2 linked regions of the Alligator mississippiensis genome follow. Each later gene encodes a partner of the first gene's protein in a complex. Links are inferred from orthologs where the notes say so. Each region holds a gene or a part of one and is shown in the gene's direction. Other genes may lie near its edges. The genes, in order: MUS81 and EME2.

Region 1 (7,333 bases):
GATAGCGGTAACAGTAGCTGCGTTCTCATCATGGTGAGAGCCCGCGCGGCGCCTTGGGGGCCGCTTCCGGTCCCTTCCTCCCTCGGGGGCGTCTGTCGGGGGGCATTTCCGGTGCCTTTTCCTGGTGGCGCCTTCAGCAGGGGGTCACTTCTGGTCCCCCTTCCCTGTGGGTCTGGCAGGGCCATACAGGGGCCCCCATAGGGTAGTGGGGTACCCCAACCTCCTGCCCCCCACCCCATGCAGGGTATAGCTTGTCGGGGGCTTCAGCCCCTTCTCCCCTCTAGCTGTGGGGACCAGCTCCCCTTTGGGGGGTGGGGGCAGGCTCCCTTCCACGCCGCCCAGTGATGGGGCTGGGGGCTGCTGGATACCTCTGTGGGAGTGCTGGGCCCTGCTGCCATGTTAGTGCCCCCCATGCTGATCCCCCCCCCTCCCCCATGTGGGGGCTGTGCCCAGGTGTACCCCACATCTTGGGGCACCCTGTGGGGGTGGGGCCAGACTCCTGGGAGGGGGCAGGGGGGTGTCCTCAGCTACAGCAGCACCTGCTTTCCTTTCCCCCCCCCCCACCCATGTGGGGTCAGATCATGAAGCTTGGGTGTTCACTGGCTTGTGAATAGGGCCATGGGGGGGCATCAGCTGCCTTTTGGGGAGGGAGGAGCAGAGCTGGGAGGGGTCAGGGGCTAGTCCTGGCGGCAGGTACTGGGAGGAGGAAGGTTGGGCAGGGTGCAGGTGGAAGAGAGCAGTGCTGGGGCAGGGGGGTCTGTGCTAGGGGCAGGGCCATGTGCCCGGGTTTCCGGTGCAGGCTTCCACTTCCTCCTTGCTCAAAATGTGGCGTCGGCATTGCCCCATGTGCCCTTGGGGTGGGGGGACGTGTTCCCCACATCCTGCCCCCCCCCCCACCTAAGCTACTGGAGCAGGTCCCTGCCCCCTCCCCATATTGCTCTGCTCTACTGGGGGGGCGTGGCCAAATGCAGGCAGAGCCATAGGGGCAGAGGGCACCCCCCAAGGGTCCGGCCTGGTACTGAGGGCTGGAAGGGACCTTCCTCTTACCCTCTGCCCCCTAGGGGAGATTTCCAGTGCACCCCCTGAACTGGGGTTGGCTGGGGGAGCATGCACCCCTTGTCCCACCCCCAGGAATTAGGCCTGTTCTATCAGATGTGGGGGGAGGGGTCCCTGTGCCCCCACCCCAGGTGTCAGACATGACAGTGTGGTACCCAGGGGGTGGATGCCAGTGCTCCAGGCATTGGGTATAGTGATGTCAGATGGTGGGGTGGTTTCCCGTTGCCCCCAGGGTGCCAGGTGTGGCAGTGTGAGCGGGGGGGGCCCTGCACCCTCTGACTCATGTGCATCCCCACCCCCCAGGCATCCGGTGTGGCAGTGTCGGATGGGGTGATCAAGGTGTTCAATGAGATGAAGGTGCGCAAAGCATCACCGGGGCCGGCCGAGCTGAGCCAGCGCAAGAAGGCTGTGCTCTTCTGCCTGAGCGAGGACCAGCGCGCCATCGTGCTGGAGCCTGGCAAAGAGGTGCTTGTGGGCGACGCAGTCCCCGACCCCTATGCTGCCTTCGTGGCCCTGCTGCCTGAGCGTGACTGCCGCTATGCTCTCTACGATGCCACCTACGAGACCCGTGAGACCAAGAAGGAGGACCTGGTCTTCATCTTCTGGTGAGATGATGCTCCTGGGGACTTCCTGTGGGCCCCTATAAGCTTTGTTGTCATCTTCTGGGGGGCCCCACAGCCCCTACAGCAGCCCCCACAGCCAGACCAAGACCTAGTCTTCAATGTCTTCATCCCAACCAAAACACCACAGCGTGGAGGACCTGATGAGAGGGTGTCCCCCACCCCCAGCATCCCTATAGCCCTCTACAGCCTGACATAACCCCCCAGGCCAGCTGGCCACAATGTGGAGGGCTTGGTCTTCATCTTTTGGGGTGACCATGCTGTCCCCTATAAGTCTCCTGCCCCAGCAAGGAGGATGGCCTAGGCTTCATCTTCTGCTGAGCTGGGTCCCCATGCCCCCCCACCTCCTAAAGCCTGGTTTCCACAGCTAGGAGGAGACCTTGGTTATGTTTAGGGGTGAGATTTCCAGGCCCCCCCCCCTTAACCATCACAGCTCCCCTGCCCAGGAGCTGGGAGAGCTTGGCCTTCATCAAGGGAGGTGACACCCCACCTAAACCATGCCCCCTCCCCCACACAGAAGACCTGTTTATTGTCTGCCCCCCACACTGAGGGGGGGGGGGCCCTCAGCCCCCTCATCTCTTGGTAGGGGCCACCTAGAAGTGCCCCATGTAGCCCTGGCCTGTCCAGCCCTGGTACCCCTGAGATTCCTCTGCCAGCTACTTTCGGAGGGGTGCGCTGGGTCTATTCCACCATGTAAGGCCCCTCTTGCCCCTGGTGCACTGTCTCCAAGTGGCCCCCAGTGTAACCTGCAGGCCCCACCCATTCCTTGGGGTCCTACCCCTTCCATCAGGTGAGGGACATAGTCTTGCACAACTAGCCACACCCCCAGTGCCAGGGTAGGGGGGTGGTTTAAAGGGGCTTCCTGGGATGGGATTGGGGGGGGGGAGGGGCTGTAGGTCTCATCCCTGGGGGACCCAGCAGGTATTTGGGGAGGGAACCCAAGTGTCCAGGCTGGTGTGACCCCTCTTTTTTTTCCCCCCCCTCTCCTTTGTGGCAGGGCTCCTGAGTGTGCCCCCTTGAAGAGCAAAATGATCTATGCCAGCTCCAAGGATGCCATCAAGAAGAAGCTGACAGGTGAGTTGGAGGGAGTGGGGGGAGGGGCAGGTAGTCTTGGGGTGGGGGGTAGAGCTGGTTGGAGCAAGGGGACTGGGAGCCTAGACACCTGGGTTCTTTGTGGGGGGTGTGCATGCCTGGGTCCTCTGGGAGAGGAGTGGGGGTTGAGAGGGGTGGGGAGGGAGGGCTGGGGGGTGAGAGCAGGGGCACTGGCAGCCCAGATGCCGGGTTCTTTTCCCCCCAGATCTAACAGGGGAGTGGTGCCAGGGAGCATGAGGAGCCTGGATACCTGGGCTCCCTCACTTCCCCGTTTTCCCCCTCACCTCCTACGCAGGCATCAAGCACGAGCTGCAGGCCAACTCCTTCGAGGAGGTGAAGGACCGGTGCACGCTGGCCGAGAAGTTGGGGGGCAGCTCTGTCGTCAGCTTGGAGGGGAAGCCTGTGTGAGCCCCCATGCCCTGCCCCACCACCAGTCTGGCCCTTCCCGCTGGGGGGAAGGGCTGCTCCTGCTGTGTCCGACTCCCAGTCTCTCTCTGCAGGGGCGGGGCCTTTGCCAAACCCCTCAAGTGCCCCCCCTTCCCCCTATCTGTCCCAGGTGGGGTTTCCTCCCAGCTACTCTAGTGTCAAGGGACCAGCCCTCAGCTCTGTCTACTTCACATTCCTCCCCCCCCCCCAAGCTGGTGAACCCAGCAGTCCTGCCTATCCTAGCCCCCTTCCAGCCCCTTTTCCCACCCTAACTTACTCCCCTCCCCCTGCAGCCTAGGGTGGAGTAGTTCCAGCCAGGGGATAGGGGTACTTCTGCCCCCAAGCCCCCATTACAGCCTGGGACTGAATTGGGTCCAGGCTACTCTGTCCTAGGCTCTGGGGGGAGGGGTCCTGCCTCCCTGTCCCAGCCTGACAGAGCTGTGCCCCCCCCCCCCCCCTCCCCACAACAGGGACCCCTTCCCCTAGTGCAGGGGAGTGTTTTCCCCCCCCCCCCCCCCCCTGCACTCCAGGGACCAGCTCCTCCCTCCCCTGCTCAGCTAGAGCCCCCAGGAGTCCGGGCTGGTCCTAGGCGCCCCGCCCCCCCCCATTGTCTAGCACCCCCGCCCCCTCCAAAGTTGCTGTTTCTGGTGTGTGTGAATCCCCTTTTTTAATGGTTTTTTGGAAGGATTTTATCCCTGCCCCCCACTGCCAAGCGTCGGTGGTGTCGTGGCTTCCTGCCTGTCCCCTGCTGGGGGAGGGGGAACGTGGCCCCCTTGGCTCCCCCTGTGCCCTAATAAACCCCTGTACTGCTACCGGCCCGTGTGCTTCTTGGAGGGGATGGGGGGGGTGGTATGCACCTGGAGGGGTATAAACACGGGGCTGGGTGCATGGAGGGGGGAGGAGACCCCGGGTGTCCAGGGGGGAGGGCAGCATGGGGTCTGAGTGGCCCTGGCCCGGGACCCCCACCCCGAAGATCCCAGGTGCCCGGGGGGGACAGAGGCAGGGCCCAGCCATGCAGCCGCGCCCCTGGAGCTGGCGCGCCCCCCGCCCTCATGAATGTGAATGAGGGTCCATGAACATGAATGAGCCGGGTTGCGGGGGGAGGAGAGACGGGGCTGGCGACACTCTCCCCGCCCGCCTCGTCTCTATGGTCCGAGCCCGGAAGAGCGCGGCGGCCGCTTCCGGTTCAGGGCGGGCGGGCGCCCCCCACCGGGGCGGGCGATGGCGGCGCGGCTGGGCAGGAAGCGGCCGGTGCCGGCGCGGCCCAACGCGGCGCTGGAGCGCTGCCTGCGGGCGTGGCGGGACGAGGCGGCGGCGCGGGGCAGCAAGGCGCGCTTCGCTTACGAGCGGGTGAGCGGAGCGGGGCGGGCGGGGGCCCGGGGCGCCGGGGGGGATCCAGGCGTCCGGGCTGACCCCGCCCGCTCCGCCCCGCCCCCAGGCGCTGGTGTCGCTGCGCCGCTACCCCCTGCCCCTGCGCAGCGGCCGGGAGGCCTCGATCCTGCAGCACTTCGGGCCCGGGCTCTGCCGCCGCCTCGACCAGCACCTGCGCGGTACGGGGGGCAGCACGGGCGGGGGGCGGGGGGCGGGCACAGGAGAGGGGGCGGGGCCAGGCGGTTCGCCCCCCTCATCCCCTCCCGCCGCAGGTGAGGACGCCCCCATGGAGGCCGCGGAGGGCCCCGCCCCCCCTCCCGTCCCGGAGCCGCAGGGCCCCGCCCCCCCCACCAGTGCTGGGGACCCCCCGCCGCCCCCCCCGCAGGTGAGTGGTCTCCTTCCAGCGGGGGTGGGGGCGGGGAGCTGCACCTCGGGGGGTGCGGACACGCGGGTCGGCTTCCTTCCCCCTGTGGGGGCGTGTCTGTGGGCGGGGCCTGAGCCCAGAGGGGTGGGGCTGACTCCTGGCTGTGCCCCGCCCCCCTGCCTAGAAGCGGCCACGCGCCCCCCGGGGGTACCTCCCGGGCCCCCGCTCCGGGGGACATGCCTTGCTGCTGGCGCTGTACAAGGAGAGGCAGGTATGCGCGGGGTGCCTGGAGGGGTGGCAGGGGGCCTGCACATTTGGGTTCCCCGGGGTGGGACGGGGCTGGGATCCTGGACCCCTGGGAGGGGAGGGGGATGCAGGGGGGCTGGGAGCCCCGATGCCTGGGTTCTCAGGGAGGGGAGCCTGGACTCCTGGCCCCCCCCATTGTGCCCCACAGACCCCGGGCGGGCGCGGGGCCCTGACGAAGGCGGAGCTGCAGCGGGCGGCCCAGCCGCTGTGCGACCAGCCCTTGGCTCCGGTGAGTGCAGCCCTCGGTCCTCCCTCGAATCCCCCTTCTGTTGCCACCATTAGACTCCAGACTCCACGTCCGCCGTCTACCTGGTGCTTCTCCACTCCCCCCTCTCCCAGCCCCCTGTGGCATCCCAGGCTCTGGCCCAGTCTGTCATCACTAGGCTTAAAACCACCGCCGGCACTTCAGGGGCCCCAGCCGTGCCCTTCCCCTCCGCCCACCGCACCTGCACTGCTCTGAACTGCACAGGCTCTGCGTGGCTCCTACCCGCCTCTCAATGCTAGCTGGCACTGTTAGGTCCCAGAGTTAAGTTAACGCCCTGTACCTGCGACTACCTCAAGGACCCACCCGGGCATCCCAAGCCGCACAGGCTCTGGAGTGCTCCCTTTTCTCCCTTAAAATCAGTCACCTGTTATTAGGCTTCAGAGTTCACACATGATCACTGGGACTTGCACCGAGGGAACCCCCCATAGCCCTGCCCCCACCTGCACCTCTGACTTGCCCCAGCCCAGCCCCGCAGGCTCAGGGGGCCTCCCTCACTTCCTCAAACTATGTTGCTTCATTAGTTTCCAGAGTCAACATGCCCAAATCTCTCATGGCCAGCAAATGGGGGTCGCTGCAGCCCTGCCCTCCCCCCGCCCTGCAATCCTGGCCCCACCCCCACAGGGGCTCCCCCACCAGGCCGGTCTGCCTTCATTAGCTTCCAGAGTCATTACGACATCGCTCACTGCCAGGCCTGAGCAGTCGTGGTCCCTGCGTCTCTGCCCCTAGCCCTGGACCCCACCAGACCTCTGGGGTATCATGGGGTTTGTGTTGCAGACCGGGGGCCGGAGTGGGGCTTGGGCAACTGTGAGCACCCTCATCCGCCGCAACCTCGTCCTCAAGGCTGGTGTGCCACCCAGGTGGGTGCCAGGAGCCCAGGGGATTGTGGGACACTGGGGGATTGGGGACAGGATTTATGGGACACTGGCAGGACATTACGGGACATTAGTGGTATAGGATTAGGCGGGGGGGGGGGACCAGGAAGGGGAGGTATCCCAAGAACAGTGGGATGATGGCTGTCCCAGTGGCCTAGGATGGGGGGGCGTGGTCTGCAGAGGATTATGGGATGCTGGGGGTCACTGGCAAGTTGGGAGAGTCCACAAAGGATTATGGGACACTGCAGGTCAGGGTGGAGTTGGACTGGGTGCCCCAGAGTATTATGGGACTCTGGGGATCCTGATGTGCTTGGTTGGGGGGTGGGGGCGATTTGCAGGGGGTTGTGGGATGCTTGGGCTCACAATAGGGCCAGGAGGGGGAGCTTCCGGGGATTATGTGCCTGTGGGGGTCCCAGTGGGTTGGGGGACTCTGCAGAGGATTATGGGATGCTGGGGGGACTGGGGTGTGAATCTGGGGATCATGGGACTGTGGGACTAGACTGGCCTCATCCCCTCCCAGGTACTCACTGACCCCCCAGGGGCTGGAGCTGGCCCAGAGGCTGGTGGGGGGCCCTGAGACCCAGACCCCCCTGGACTCCGAGGATGAGGAGGAGAACCAACCCCCAGAGCCCGTCTGGTGAGTGCAGCTGTGCCTGGACGCCTGAGGTCCCTCCAGCTCCCCCCCAGAGCATGATGGGGCGAGCCGGGGGCCCGAACTCCTGGGTTCTCCCAGCTGCGGGAAGGGAGTGGGGTTGGGGGTTAGATCATAGGACACTGGGCGCCTCGGGTGCCTGGGTTCTGCAGCCCGTGTCACTACCCACCCCTCACCCCCTTCTCCCCCCAGCCTGACGGAGGCCCCAGGGGAGCCGGCCCCCGAGATCATCCTGCGCCCTGGGGAGTTTGACATTGTCCTCTGCGTGGACTTTATTGAGACTACGGGGTGTGTGGGGGACATGAGGTT
Region 2 (7,830 bases), on another chromosome or scaffold:
GACCGACCGGACCGGGACCGGGACCGGGACCGCGATCGCGCTGCGGCTTGGCCGGGGCCGCCTCGCCCCGCGCTCCCGCAGCCGGGCCGCGCCGCGCCGCACTCACCGGGCTGGAAGACGTGGGCGAACAGCGCCAGCACGAGGCAGATCATGGCGGGAGGCGGCCGGGGCGCAGGCAGCGGAGCGCGCGCAAACGTCTCCCTCGTAACAGAGCAGCCGCCGCATTATGGCGGTCCCGCCCCGCCCCGCCCCGGGCTCCGCTGCCAGGGACGCCCCGCGGGATCAAGGCAAGCTGCAGCGGCGGGGCGCGGCACCCAGCAGGGGCGGGCAGGGGGGCCTCGGGCCCCGCCCTCACAAGCCAGCTCCCTCATGGCTCGAGGTAAGTTCCCGGCTCCCGCCAGGGTGAGGCAGAGACGTGGGCCCGAGCTGCGCACAGCTCCCCCGCCAGGGCCCGGACCCTCCCTGGAGGCTTTTTATACCGTCCATCCAGGTCCAGATGTCTGTGTGCTGCCGCCACCTCCGAGGTAAGCAGCTCCTGGCCAGCTCAGCAGGGAAACCGAGTCATGGCCTGGGACTGCTGTTCTTTGGGTCACCTTAGTTATTGTGGGGAGTGACCAGGGCCCTGCACATCTCAGCTCACTTGAACCTACCCCTCACCCTCCCTCGTCCATGCTGAGCACCATGATTGTGGCTGAGGTGCCAGGGAGGGGACAGTGGCACAGCCCAAGGGGTGAGGACTCACTGACACACTTTTGCTTTTCACAGGCCCACGTGACAAAAGTCCTCTCATGACTCTTTGGCAATGACTTCCGCAGGAATAAGAGCAAATACACTTATATTCTGTTAACACAAAGAGGTCTCCCCTCCTCCCCCGCCAAATACCAACACAGCCTGGGATCTGAAAGACCAAGTGGGATCCTTCCTTCTTGCCCATCCCCATCATAGGGTGACCCAGTGGGTTTGACAGAGATGCAACTGAAGCAGTGCCCTCAGCTGGTGAGACTACCTTTTGCAGCTCGCACTTAGTTTAACCGTTTTGATGGTCTGACTAACAAGCCAAAAGAGAACCAAACTTGTTTTCTCATTGTAGCAGAAAGCCCCCTTTTCCTCTTGCCTGCATTTGCTTTCCCCTCTTTGGATATGTTTCTCCTCTTCTACCTCTTTTTCCTTCCTCTTTCTTTCACTATAAGATAAAGAATTGTGTTTTAAAGTTTGTATGTGTGCATTTTATATCTCCCCTTGTATTTTGGTATTTTTATCTATTTGTTTGCCATGGCATTACTCTCATAGCTTATATTTTATACTCTTCACCTTTTAATTAAATGTGTTTTAGTTTTTAGAAGTAAGTTATACACTGTAACAATGTTAACAAGGGCAGGAATCAAACCTGGGCTTCCCTGTATCAGGCAGGGCCCCTGAAAGAACAAGTGAATCAGTGATTGAATGCGTAACTCTGTAGCAGGCTTCAGTAACAAGTGGTAATTAATACCTACACCCCAGATCAAGCAACAGAAGAAATCAATAGGAGACAGTGTAGCAAACAGGAATTATCTAAACTTCACTGTTCAAGGGCTAGAAGCCCCGTCTGAGTTAATCGACACCGGGGACCAACTTTTGGGGCTGAATATCTCCAGATCGACTGCTCCCAGAGCCCTATTTATGACAGCGGTAAATTAATCAAAATTCATCAACGGACTCCCAAACCTGCACGTACATGCGGAAGACCCCTGGGGCTGACAGGTGCCATCCAGTAGTCACTGGGGAGGGGAAGTCCCACGAGGGTCAACAACCCCTGAATTGGGCAAACCTGAAAACTGGGGAGTCACCAAAGTCTGCCAAGGACAGATAAAAAGCAGTGAAAAGTGACCCTCAGGGGCACCCTCTTGATCTCCAACTCGTCCAGCACCCAACCTGTCCAGGCAGAAGGACCAGCTGGCGACCCCCTTCTGGAGGATAACACCACGCTGCAAGAAGCCTTGACTGGCCATCGATAGCAGACTCCAGCGCTTTGTAGGATAGGTATACCCAACTCTGGTGCCCCCCACAACAAACATTTGTAGCGCACTAGTGTGTGTGTGTGAGAGGAGACCAGCCCCAAGGTTATGATTTGACTTCATTACAGTGTTTCAATCTGCCTAATGAACCAGAATTTTAAGGATCCTGAGTTGAACATTTGTAGCCAACATCATGTCTGTGCTGCAGGAAAAATCAGATGGGAAGACTCATACATGCAGGAGCACACTCTGTGGAGCAAGATGGTGACTTCTTATAGGCCCTTGTCTGTGCTTTTACATTGGTTTGGGGATCTAATCAACTTGACAGTGTCCTTTTTTAATTCTCAGAAGTGGGCTCTAAAGGGAATTTTGCCCAGTCATAGGGCCCAGAGGATAGGAGCTGTAAAACAAATGCAGAGAAAAACAGAGAAGATGCTCTACAGAGATTACCAAGAATCCTAAGCATGTCTGCATCTTTCCAAATACATGTAAGAAATGTGTACACTGGCATGTGCCAGGAATAGGAAGAGAAACTGAGGTGATAACACTGGATAAACCTGAAACATGCCTGTGGCTTATGGAATCATTTTCTTCATTAAGGAGATCAGTTGGCGATTAAGAGACCTAGGGGGCACCATACTCAACACTACCTTCACACTGGTGTCCCTTCAGTTCTCTTGACATTTTCAATGGAGTCTGTTCTGGAGATCCCTCTTTCCAGATCAAGCATCGGCTCCTCCGTGTTCGGTTTTCCTTCCTTCTGCCTCTGAGCAAAGATCATGGCTCGGAGCAGAGGTGGATACGGCACATACCGGATGGTTTCCTCTGGCACCGGGGTAAATTTCTTGAAGTCCTCTTCCTCATGTTTGGGCACCAAACGCCAGTCATGGTACATGACCTTATCAATCTCTTTTACTTCATTTTCTGTCTTGCCTGAGGGAAGATAATAATGAATTAGTAATTAACACCGTCAAACTATATAAGCATGTAGAGGAGTCTCCAGCTGGGAATGGCATTGGGTATTTTGCCACTTACACTATATCTACCACTAGCATACTCTCCTCTCATTCCGGGTGGTATAAACAAGAAGCAAGGGGAACTAACTGACAGGGCAACCATGTTGCAGTCCTGACTTTGCAGGTGACTTCCTCGGACATCTAGCTCCTCAACTTCTCCACTCTGCAGAAATGTTGGGGAGTTTAATAATGTTTAAGAGAAACATTGTGAGACCCTCAAATGAACAATGCGACAGTATTGAAGCACAAGCTTAACTGATAAAAGATGCACTCCATACATGATTTAAAAGAGCATGGAGAGAAGAGAATTTCCCCATTGATCACAATGAAATATTACTTCGGTACCCCAGTGATGATACTGCAAATAACACTGCTATCCATCTGAGCAGAAACATCAAATGTGTTTATCTACTGAAATTAGCTATGATAAAATTCAAAGACGGAAAAGAACCAATTGTGAAGTCATCCATTTCCCTGCCAGCAGGACATTGTTCACTATGGTACAATCTCTGTGGCTTTTTCCAGACTATCTTGAAATTACATAAATTATTGCACTTCCTTGTAAAATCATGCCAGAGGGATTTTCTTCCTTTGTCCAATTAGTGGGCTGAGAAGGAGAGAGTGAGGAGTTGTAAGAGCACAACTGTCTTTTCTCCTTTCTGGTTTATTCCCTGGTTTGGGGCAGAAATATGCTCTCTAATCTTGCTTGAGAGACATAGGGCAAGTTCTTCATTACCTCTGAATGTCAGGTATCCCCAGGCTTTTCCGTGATCCAAATTCTGCAAAGAAAACACATGAGAATTCACTGCGATTAGGTAAAGAAGCCTTCCCACTCACAAAGAGGACAAGTTCTCTAAACAGCTTCATCATCTAATGCAGGAGCGCAGCCTGCTTTGGGAGAGGCGAGGCCTGCAACCTGAGCACCTGTTAAGGTGCTATTCTCACACCGGGACCAAATCGCTCTGTGCCTCTCATTTAGAGGCTCATTTTACAGTGGTCTAGACAGTGCAGCAGCGTTTGCAGGATCTGTTTTACAATCCATGTTCCAGGTGCCACAATCACTGCTCTGAAGAGCAGGGCAGGCGGCACCCGGTGGGCCCCGCTGCTGCAGCCAGGCACTGCTCCCAGGGCAAGGGTCCCCGCGGTGCCTTCTCCAGCGCGCAGGACTCCCTGGGAGACAACATGACGCGCAGCCAAACCCGAAAGGCCCCGACTTAGTGCCGCGGGGATTTGGGAGCCAGATCCTGCAGCGGCCGAGGCGATCCCACGGGACCGACGAGTGGCCCGGGAGAGGACTCACCTCGGCCGTGTAATCCACTTGGGTCTTGGTGATGAGCCAGTAGCAGGGCTCTTCGTACTGCCACAGCCAGGACTTGCGCGTGACCACGCGGCCGATGCCGAAGAAGGGCAGGCGGGCGAGCAGCGCGAAGAGGCGGGTCTCGTTGCGCACGTCCTCCCAGGCCAGCACGGGCAGGCGCTTCCCGGTGAACGGCCGCGTCATGGTCTCATAGTCCAGGGAGAAGCGCTGCGAGTCGTGCGGCCGGTTCTTCAGCGCCCGGTATTCGCGGATCTTCTTGGCCATGGCCGCGATCGGCCGGTGCAGCTTCCTGCGGCCCATGGCAGCGGCGGCGGCCCGGCCACGCGCGGAGCAGCTCTGGCGGCGGCAGCACCACTACCGGAGGTCACAGGAAACTAGTGCTTCGCGGACAGCTCGCGGCGCATGCTCGGCGCGGGGCGGGGCGGGGCGGGGCTGCGCGGCAGCCTCGCCGGGCGGAAGTGGGGGCGGGACGTGCACGCGGGGCGGATGAGCAGCTGCGCCGGGTGGAAGTGGGGGATCCGCGCTCGGGTCCCGGCGGCCGTGGGAGGCCATGGCGGGGCACGGGTCGGCCGGGGCAGCCAGACGAGCTGCCGCCGCCTGGGAGATCTCGGACTCGGACAGCGAGGAGCCGCCGGGCGGGGGCGGGTCCCTCCGTGTGCCGACGCCCCCGCGGGACCCCGCGCCCTGCCCGAGCCGTAGCAGGCAGCGGAGGACGAGGAGCCTTGGGGTCGGGGTTGGGGCAGCGGGGCTCGGCAGGGAGCAGCAGAGGGCGGACAGGGCGCGGAAGAAGGCGCAGGACGCGCTGGAGAAGCGGCAGCGCCGGGAGGCGGCCCAGGCCCTGCGGCCCGAGCAGTGTCTGAAGTACGTGGCCGTGTGCGTGCACCCAGGTGGGCCCCGGGGAGCAGCGCCTCGGCACCTCGACCACCTGCCAGCGGCCCTGGGCCCTTCCCCGGGCCCCGCTCCCGGCTCCGTGTCCTGGCGTCTGGCCTCGTGGCCGCCCCTTGGCGAGGCGCGCTCCTGGCTGCCGTGGGCTCGGGCTGAAGAGCAGGTGCTTGCCCTGGTGACGGTCCCAAATTCCTTTACGGTTGGCAAATCCGATCAGCCACAGACGCTAAGGACTTGGGCTCCTCTGAGCTCGAGCCTCTCCCTGCGTCAGTGGGGAAAAGTCGGACTTTTTTCATCATGCATGTGCCTGGAAGGGGTTAATTAACGTGTAGAAAGCACTTGGAAGTGATCAGTTGGCAGATGTTATAGAATCCTAGAAAATGGTTGGAAGGGACCTCCAGAGGTCACCTAGTCCTGCTCAAGACCAGGTTATCCTTACATAAACCATCCTATGCATGTGTCCTATTCCAAACAAAACTGCATAAGCCATCCACTTGCCGGCTGTCGGGGACAATGCCAAAAAACATGAAGGTCACTCTAACTGGCCCCAGGAAAATGTGGGACAAGAGCACTGTCAGTGTCCTGCCACTGCGAGGACAGGGAGTCATTTATTAAAATACGTGAGAGAGAGCACCAAGGAAGGGGACCATGCTCCGTTATAAAAGTGTAAATTGGTTGATTATAGTAATAATCATCAGCTCTTCATGAATGTCAGCTTTGCTGGAAGTAGCTTTCTTAGGTGTGTTAGTGATGACAAATGTGCAAGGATTACATTTCTTCTTAAAATTCACGTATCAAAATTGACAGCACACTTTGCTTCCGTGGTGCTTTGGTTAGCAAAGAGGGATGTGAACTCAGATTACGGTAACTATATTTAGTCTCAGGCCATGAGGCATGGACACTCCATGCTATTTGGTAAATTCAGCATCATAAGGCACGAACTATCAAAAAGCTGGGGCAGAAAACAGGCTCAGAGCTGATTGCCTGTCATGCAGGTCCATTTCTGAGGACAGGTAAGCTGTGTCCAGAAATGTTAACTCCTGAAATATTATGCCTGGCTAGTTATCTGGGGCTGCACATTTTCTGTTCAATCCTATTCTCTTTCTCTGACAGGATGGAGTTCTTCAGATAATCTCAGCTAATTTCCCACAATGTTGTCTTAGATCAAGCTCTGTTCAGTGCACTTAAAGAGCTGTACCGTGGCTTGGACGTAACACTGAGTTATTCTGAAATGTTTCTAACTGTGCTGTCTGTTTGTACTAGCATCTAAAGAGTTCAATAATCTCTTTAGCAGCGCAGCTAACTTAAAATGTGTAGTCATTATCCTCACAGAAATAGATGTAGGAATGAGCTGCAGGTTGCCCACCTTAACATCCATGAAGAATTGTTCTTTGCTTTGCTTGCCAGAGCTTTGTCCATTCCAGTTTCCAAGTTTATCTTGGTGTAATTAAGGGTTTTCACTCACCTCAGCTTTACAGATTGCTCTCTGCTCCCACTCTTCTGCAACATAATGTGGTTTAGCTGATTGTCCTCTTCCTCAGAATGGGTTGTATTTCTTTGGTGCTATATGTTGTATGAGCTTGATCCTGCAACTCTTAATTGAGGGAATAATTCTGCTCAGAAGAGTAGGATGACTTGTGACTAAGGCTTTGCATGCTGTAACATAATGGAGTGGGAAAACAAAGTGTGTGATTGTCTAACTATCAAAATACATATACGCACAGGGGAAATTAAATAAGGTTGCATGCTTAATCTTGGAATTTCCCACTTTTTAAGCATTTAATTAACAACTTAACCTACTTTTTACTGTAGGTTTTAAATAAATATTGTGTTTAAAGTATTTAAAAAACACAAAGTGTTGCAACCTTTAGATTCACAGCACAGTCTTCTGCTGCTTGGCCTTATGCAGTAAGTGATAGCTATAGAAGGCTATCCCCTATGTGGATCAGTCCCTAAAGGTAGAATTAGACACATTTTGTCAGTTTAACAGCTACTGTTTTGAAGGCAGCAAAAGAATGCTGTAGGGTTGGGTATCTGACTAGTCAAATAAATTTGGTCAATTGACCAGTCAAATATTGGTCAAAAATTGTCAAATAATATTTTGTTTACTTACTTTAAAAAGCAGTAATTTCTTACATAATGTTGGAATACATTTATTTCAGAATTAAATCTTTTGCAGAAAAATAAACACAGAAAAAGCACAAATTTTCCCTTGAACATTAAAAAATAATATTTCTATCAAGAAAACTACAAAAAAAATCCACTGCCCATAAAATTAAAAACATGTACTGAAGGTCAGTTCAATTAAGGGCCCCAAGTCTGCAGTGCACCCCCTACACACAGCCCGTGTCCCCCCCCCAGTCCTCTATAGTAGGTATATGTTATCAAACAGTTGACCCATATAATTGAAACAGTTTCAACAGATAATTTTGTAAACAATACTTGAATCTCTTGTTGCTATAGTCACAGAAAGCCTTATAATATTTGACTGAGCTTTGACCAGTCAAAAAATATGCAGTCAATTGGCCGATTTGCCACCCCGAGAATGCTGAGATTCAGGGAGAATGGTCCAGTGCCAGGTTCTGTAGGTGAATGTGCTTTAATGGACGTTCTGTTG

The links.
Region 2: the proteins of MUS81 (region 1) and EME2 are in contact, whole or in part, in a crystal structure (PDB 7F6L), measured with the Homo sapiens proteins. The link is inferred for Alligator mississippiensis from reciprocal best matches to the Homo sapiens genes MUS81 and EME2. Residues at the interface, in NP_079404.3 of Homo sapiens: His330, Glu351, Phe354, Lys357, Arg358, Arg363, Val365, Glu381, Leu385, Gln386, Thr389, Asn390, Gln392, Val393, Ile394, Phe398, Lys400, Arg401, Tyr411, Leu414, Leu415, Arg417, Gly418, Leu419, Arg421, Leu422, Pro447, Ile464, Lys467, Ala468; in NP_001244299.1 of Homo sapiens: Glu140, Arg177, His179, Glu220, Glu221, Val224, Leu225, Gln227, Leu228, Trp229, Asn231, Leu232, Asp233, Leu235, Arg245, His246, Ala249, Val250, Lys252, Ala253, Leu254, Gln256, Tyr257, Lys260, Gln261, Glu264, Gln266, Phe268, Phe270, Cys271.

Annotation. Positions count from the first base shown.
Region 1 is NC_081838.1:5,437,753-5,445,085, forward strand, and holds the start of MUS81 (crossover junction endonuclease MUS81), read left to right. Parts: upstream 1-4,127; 5' UTR 4,128-4,415; coding exon 4,416-4,544; intron 4,545-4,632; coding exon 4,633-4,744; intron 4,745-4,837; coding exon 4,838-4,950; intron 4,951-5,113; coding exon 5,114-5,200; intron 5,201-5,383; coding exon 5,384-5,464; intron 5,465-6,274; coding exon 6,275-6,357; intron 6,358-6,892; coding exon 6,893-7,009; intron 7,010-7,216; coding exon 7,217-7,312; intron 7,313-7,333. Other genes in the region: cofilin-1, read left to right, coding at 1-33, 1,360-1,661, 2,674-2,750, 3,064-3,176. UniProt on the Homo sapiens protein: Catalytic subunit of two functionally distinct, structure-specific, heterodimeric DNA endonucleases MUS81-EME1 and MUS81-EME2 that are involved in the maintenance of genome stability.
Region 2 is NC_081836.1:29,552,109-29,559,938, forward strand, and holds the start of EME2 (probable crossover junction endonuclease EME2), read left to right. Parts: upstream 1-4,800; 5' UTR 4,801-4,878; coding exon 4,879-5,215; intron 5,216-7,830. Other genes in the region: NME3 (nucleoside diphosphate kinase 3), read right to left, coding at 107-152; MRPS34 (small ribosomal subunit protein mS34), read right to left, coding at 2,647-2,927, 3,747-3,789, 4,311-4,628. UniProt on the Homo sapiens protein: Non-catalytic subunit of the structure-specific, heterodimeric DNA endonuclease MUS81-EME2 which is involved in the maintenance of genome stability. In the complex, EME2 is required for DNA cleavage, participating in DNA recognition and bending.